Tribolium castaneum: one gene and its partner. The protein of the gene in region 2 interacts with the protein of the main gene of each other region in a biochemical or structural test. Links are inferred from orthologs where the notes say so. Each region holds a gene or a part of one and is shown on either strand. Other genes may lie near its edges.

Region 1 (3,934 bases), about 5.6 Mb from region 2:
AGCCGCACATCCGCCCAAAATAGCCGAGACTGAGTGCAGTTCAGCGCCCCCGTAGCGACAAACTTCGTGTACCCTCTCATCTCTGATTATCTGTGAACAACCCCACTCTCCTAACAACTTCCCAATAATGCCCTTCAATTTAAGCACATCAGGCTCCACATGGTCATCCAATTGCCCTGGATAACTATTAAATTCACTGATAAAGCGCTCTAGCCCTCTTAGAGTTATGTAATGGAACATCAAACTATCAGGATCCTCAAGACATGACGTTAGATCTACTCTAGTTTTTTGATATTCATCAGCAATGCAACTGCCACGAATCACATGTAACTCACTCGCATGCTTGCAAAATAGCTTAGCCTGAAACCAAGAATTCAATACAGAAAAACACTAAAACAGGAAATTACTTCAGATTCGGTTATGGTCTCTTGAGAGAGGCCCAAATTTCGCGCAATTTCTAACGCCCTCCTGTAGATAATTTCACACTGGGTTTGAGCCTGTTTTTGGTAGAGTTGTTGCAACGTGATGTAGCTACTGGTGTCAGCTGCCATATCTGGTAAAGTCCCTTTCAAAGGGGGCGCCCCTTCTTTTTCAACAAATTCCTTCAAGGCCGCACATAAAACCCAAAAAGGTGAACTGTTCTGGTTCACATTTATGCAGCTATCGTCCTCCAGAATTGCTTGCAAATTTGGGGGAATCTTGATGGGGTTAATACAAGTATTAATGTAGCGAATAGCCTCTTTAAAATTCTCCTCCAAGTTCTTAATTCCGTGTTCATCAGGCGGGGGGCTTTCCGTTATCATTTTTTTAACTTCTTCCTTTTCGGCTCGAGTTTTCGGTAAATGGCCTAACAATTAAGTTTTGTATACAGAATGCTCAAAAACGTGGGCACCAACTCAATAAAAAATTGGACTATTTAAATTTATTTCAACCAAACAAGAAAAAATTAACGCTTTCAGGAAGTTTAGGACATTTATAAGTGAAAAATTGTAGAAAGTATTTTGGAAGAATACAACAATATTTTTACTAGTTTAGTTGAAACAAATTGAATAAAAAAATTATTAAAGCCCTAAAGAATGATTTTTGATTCTTCATCTTTTCACGACCGCAAGCCCTTGTGACAAGCTTTATTTTCTGCGAAAATCAAGAAAATCGCTACGTGGAAAGACAAATAAAAAATTTAATTTATGTTATCAAGGTATTTAAGGTCCCAAGGAGCGATTCTTCTGTTGAAAACTTTTTTAACAAGCTTTGTTTGTTTTTTATTTTATAGAAAAATTGAATGTTTGACTTTATTCACTTTAAAAAACAGTTTTGATGTTGTCAATGAGACGATCGAGAAGTCCCAAGGTTTATACAATTTTTTTTAATTCAAGTACTGTTAGAATTTTTCAGTAGACATACAAACTTATAAGAAAATAAGTCAGAATTTTTGCAGTACCACTGAGTTGGTACGTGACTTGAGCACCCTGTATAGAATCTTTCATGGTTTCAAGTAACTCTATCAGAGTGGCCTATGACTTAAAAATTAAGTTGGCAGCATAACTAACAAATGCACATCGTTAGTATGGTCATCTGACAAAACCTAACAACAGCATTGCCAACTTTGTTTCAAAATTACGGCCACTTTGACCAGAAATTTACCGTGTTTGCTTTTAAACTGCGCCAAATAATAGTACAGAATAACCACCGCAGGCACATGACTGCGTTCCTTGTTGTCTAGTTTGGTTACATCAACTTTATCCAAATGTTCTTTAAGTGCAGGCCATGGATTATCTAAGCGTAAATCATGATTTTCGTTATCAGGGTGGGCTTCTATTATGGTGTGTTCTTTGACTTGTATTCTTATGTAGCCCAGAAAGCCCACACTGCGGCATACAATAAGTGGTACATTTTTTTCCCATAAGTGTCTAGAGAGCGGCATTAAAACTCTAAAATTTGATCAATTATTTCCTGACGTCATTTCTATTGATTTTACTTTTCTGGCAAACACGTTGCAATTACGACAGAAAACGTGTCAAAAAAATCTTGACTGTGGGCCATAATGTGGTCAACGGACTCGTCAATGTAGTCCCCTCTAACATCAGGGTTCAGCTCAAGTAGGTTTTGAGTGGCTACCTGTGCTCTAGACATCCCTATTGAATCACTCTCGATAAAAAAGCTAAAACAACTGATTCAGACAACGTTCCTTAATTTTAAAACTCCTACTTTGAACCAATATCATCATCAGTTACTTTTTCACCATCAACAATCGTGAAGGAACCAATGCCAGGCAAAACCAAACTTTTGAGAATTTCCGTACCCAAAGCGGTGGCGTTAATTAGACAAATCTTTGAGTTTTCGAGAAATTTCTGACCGTGATCGCCCCATAATCTATAATTTTCGTTTATTTTTTGAAAAATGACTGGTCAATGTTGACTAACCTCAACTGCCGGTCGTATTTTTTGCTCTTTTCGCTTTGTTCCGGCGACTTTGGCGCGGGAGATGACATTATCGATTAAAAACTTAAAACAAGGCTTTTTATGTGTTACACAACAATAACTTCTTGTAAAATTTAAAAAACTGTCGGCCTTTTTCACTCCAAATGTCAGCTTTCAATGCCGGCAATTTGCACTAGTTTTGGAAATAAAAATCACTAAAATATGTATTAGAAGTGAAAAATTTCTAGATTGGAAACATTACGCAATAAAATTATACTTGTAGGATTACGTTAATATTTCATTGCATTATATTCCTAAACAACTATGCTAATTTAAAGTAAGTTTATTTTGCTGTTAGGCCGCAAAATAAATGATTTAATTAACAAATTTGATACAGTTTGCGCTCTATATTTTACAGATCAATGGAGAGGTAAACCGTTGCAAAACGATGATTGCCGAAGAAAATTAAAAGGGCGACATCTGCGATTCTTGGGACATGCAAGTCCTTACACGTGAAATTGTGTTTTAATTTTATTCGGTGTTAAAGTGTTAAATTTTTATTGTATTTGCTATCGCGATAAAGTCAGTGTTTCCAAGTTCGTATTCTGTTCATTATCAGGTATGTCATTTTTTTATTATAGGGTTTCATTTACAAGTACTGGTTCCGGCACCGGTTTAAAAAAAAACGGTTTATCTTCGTTCAAAAAACCTTTTTGTCTGTTTCTTCTTTTTAATCAAGGTAGCATGAAATCTGGGCAATATTAAATAAATCAGCACTCTAGATAATTGTGCATAGGAGTTCATTCCACATAGGGGAGATGGAGGATAGTTGGTTAAAATTTTAGAGAACATCTAAAAAACACGTGGTCTCGATTTCAAAGAAGCTTTTTATTAACAAGGGACACAAACTGAATCAGTTTTCTTGCCTTGTCTTGCATCATTTGCAGAATTAAGCCTTTTTGCTGAATTTTGCTCCTATAAAATTTTCAGATTTTCACTTCATGTTTCTTTGTTTCTAACGGATATGTTTGAAATAATACATTTCTTACTTATATAAACGAAAAAGCCACTACAACAATTGATTTATTTCAAATTGCAGAAATAAATAGCAAGGCACAAAGGTTAATTTTTCTGTATTCTTTGTAATTTTATTAATTTTTTTTCAATTTCGCATTTAATTTTAATTTACCAATTACCTGTTTTTTAACACAATTTTATTAAAAAAAAAACAATGCTACAAAACGTTACTTTATAGTATTGTTTTTGGTATTTTTTATGTGGTACTGTTACCAGTTCTGATTGCATTCAGTCAAATAATTAACAAACCAAGCTTTAACAGGGCACGGAATTTTTAAAATTCAGTTAAATCACGTTTTGAAGTTGGAAAATGTTGATAAAAGTGGTGTGTTTTACGTAATTTTTATTTCCCAAGCGTGATATATGAATTACCAACGGAAAAAAAACCTTTGATGAAACCTAATTTAAAGATTTTGAAATATTAGCAAAAATAGTAG
Region 2 (3,082 bases):
TGCTGCCGGAATGGCAATCTCAGGCACAATCAATGACATTGATGACGAGTCCGACGATGACGATTCTGATTTCGAACCGAATGAAGAAACGATGTTGGAAGCCTATACAACACCATTAGATGAAGAAAATTGTCCTGTAGATGAATACGATGTTTTCAAAGAAGTCATGACTAGTAAGTAACGTGTTTAATTGTTCAATTTTTTAGATTTATAAAATAAAATTTCAAGGATTGGAACGTTGTCAGCCTGAATGGTATAATGCCCTCACGGCCAATTTAACCGAACAACAAAAGAAGAATTTGGTAGATATTTGTGTGTTAGCGGATCAGAGGAAAGCAGCCAAAGAAAGTAAAAGAATTGAACAATCGGGAGGTAAAATTATATGATAGTGTTGGGGGAATAACAAATTAATTTTGTTTGTCCAGGTTTTATGTTTACACAACATGAAGTACCCACAACTTTTAAGTTTGGCGCTCCAAAACCGTCATGAATATATGTGACGTGGTGTGTAAAATTTTTGTGACTGAATGTAAAATTGACTGTTAAGACCAGTGAAATGATGTACAGTTGGTAATTTAATCTTTTTTAATTTTTATTAAGTGCCTTTTTATTAAACAAAAAAAAAACGGATGTAAACGATTTAAATTTACCTAATATAGATTTAAATGGAAGTTTATTTTCCGTGTAATTGTAATTATTTTTCGACTGTGTCTCTTTTGTCTCATTTGTTTTCTTCTTTAGGGAAAGACAATGTAGTAAATTACATTATTTCTATAATATACTGAAAGGTGTTAAGTTATTGCATTTTAATAAAGAATTGCTTCGAATTTTTGTAGATTTTTATTATGAAAAATTATCTATTTTCTTAATTAAATCAGTTACATTTCACTGAGGAGAAATTACAACACACCGCTTTGTGGTGCTTTACGCTGGAGTGAGATATGATGATCACAATAGAACGATTGAGATGAAAAAGCCAAATAAAACAACATAGTGGTAGCTTTAATAAACGAAATTAGTAATTAGGTATGCAAGAATCACTCGAGTGTCCTCGTCAACGAGCATAAAACAGTAAACTTATAAATAAGTTCTTTACACATAAGAATCACTTGAGACAGCGGTCGAAATAAGTACTGCCAACATACCCTCCACGCATCGCCTTCTGGACGTTCTGCTCAAACAGCCGCCTGTTGGTCGTGAGCACTTCAGCCGCTTCCTTGTTCAAAGGATCCTCTGGATTGGGTTCAAGGAACAAATACTGCAGTCCATAGACGATACTGTTGATAGTCAGTACGGGCTTCCAATCCTCCCTTAAAATGTTCAAGCACACGTTGCCCTGTTGGTCGATGTTGGGGTGGTAGACCTGTGTCTCGCATTTGACTTTGGGGGGCTCATGCGGGTAATTGGGGCCCACTTTGAAACTGAATACGAACCTCCCTGTCTTGTAGAAACCCTAAACGTCCCCCCAATTAACCACAACCCCACACACTAATCCACAACTAACCTCATCCGGACAAATCACCAGTTTGAAAGACAGCAAGTCGTCCGGATCGGGAAACTCCGTCGTGCAGGTCTTGGGCAGGTTCAGCTCGTTGATATCTGCAAAGGGAGGGTCAAAATGGGGGCGCAATGACTCACAACCAACCTTTCGTAATCCTCAACTGGGCTGCAGAGGCTTTCTTTTGATTTCCTGGTCGCGGTGAGGCTTCTCCATCTTTTTTCTGTTGCTTCAGCGAGAATAGTTTTATCATATTTGGCTGGCGCAGGGGTGGTGAGGGGTCAGAGCAATGTAATTTACTGCGAGCACACTTTACAAAAACATGGGAAAGTCGAGTTTATTCGATTGCTTTTTGCAAGAGAATTTTTCACACATCTGTCAATGTCAAAACTGTCAATGGGACATGCAGGAATTTACTTTACCATCGGAACGAATTCTTAATGAAAAAATTTAAAAAATTCATTTATTGCTAATGCTAAGAATTTTTCTGCAAAGCACTTAATCAAAAGATCCAAATCAATAAAGCAGACCATCAGAAGACTATGTTCAAAGCTATTTAAATTAATTTATTTCGTGCCGTTGTTATTACATTGGTACTACTGGTGCGTTTGTCATCCTCTGCGGATTTTTCGCGTCTTGAGTTGTTGAAATTCGTAAAATTATTCTGTGAAACGAATTATTTCGGTTTAGGAGCGTTTTAGAACTGTTCGTTATTGTGTTTTTAGTTTGTGTATTAGTTTGTTGACCACCAGACCACAGATGAACATTGAAACGAATGTTTGCAGTTACTCAAAGGTAAGTGTACACATTTCTAATTTATTTGTTAATATAAATCCAACCCTAATATTTTAAAGCATCGTTATTGAAATTTTATACGGTACTACATTTTGACGCGCAGAGCAACTTTTGCAAAGTTTGGGCCACGGGTTTGAGCCGTCGCGTCGTCTTCGTTAATTGTCATTCAACTATCAACGCAGACGACGCGACGGTTTGAGCAATTTTAATTTTTTTACGAAATTATTAATTAAAAAATATTTTAGCATTTTGCCTAAAATATTGTAATATTTAAATTAAAATTGAGTTTTCATGAATATGGGGTTTGTTGTCTAAAGTGATAGATAGCAGAGGAGATAACCATCTGACTCATCTGAGTGTAAAAAACAAATTTAGTGCTTTTCTGAATTGATAATTTTCCAAGTTTCTTAAAAAAAATTGGAAATGCAGTCATTTCACACAAAGTCTCATCACTCATCACGTCATCAGTTATCACATTTTATGAGCTTTGAAAAGTACGACACTCTAGAGACTATTTTGAACCCAAATAAATATGGTCTGTAATGTAACCATTTTACAGACGACTTCAGAGAAATGGCTTTTCTAGTTATCAATCAATAATTCATTAATTTAAAAAGCTTGTATTTTTCGTTTATTAATATTGTTTGTTTGATCCTATATCTAATTTTAGGAAAAAAATTGTGTTAAATAAAAATTATTGTGCAATTATTCTTGCATATTATCTGCAAATAATATTATATCACATCAGTTCCTTTTAAAAAGCACCAGTCATTACATTTAATTTTTGAT

Evidence for each region.
Region 1: of the proteins of UbcE2M (region 2) and APP-BP1, one has a biochemical effect on the other in vitro, tested with the Homo sapiens proteins (4 studies listed by BioGRID, with this or other methods). The link is inferred for Tribolium castaneum from reciprocal best matches to the Homo sapiens genes UBE2M and NAE1.

The regions. Positions count from the first base shown.
Region 1 is NC_087394.1:31,701,742-31,705,675, forward strand, and holds the start of APP-BP1 (nedd8-activating enzyme E1 regulatory subunit), read right to left. Parts: upstream 2,624-3,934; 5' UTR 2,492-2,623; coding exon 2,424-2,491; intron 2,374-2,423; coding exon 2,209-2,373; intron 2,162-2,208; coding exon 1,979-2,161; intron 1,932-1,978; coding exon 1,645-1,931; intron 848-1,644; coding exon 408-847; intron 361-407; coding exon 1-360. UniProt on the Homo sapiens protein: Regulatory subunit of the dimeric UBA3-NAE1 E1 enzyme. E1 activates NEDD8 by first adenylating its C-terminal glycine residue with ATP, thereafter linking this residue to the side chain of the catalytic cysteine, yielding a NEDD8-UBA3 thioester and free AMP.
Region 2 is NC_087394.1:37,270,557-37,273,638, forward strand, and holds UbcE2M (NEDD8-conjugating enzyme Ubc12), read right to left. Parts: upstream 1,924-3,082; 5' UTR 1,752-1,923; coding exon 1,646-1,751; intron 1,600-1,645; coding exon 1,505-1,599; intron 1,454-1,504; coding exon 1,106-1,453; 3' UTR 826-1,105; downstream 1-825. Other genes in the region: msk (importin-7), read left to right, coding at 1-173, 229-372, 426-490.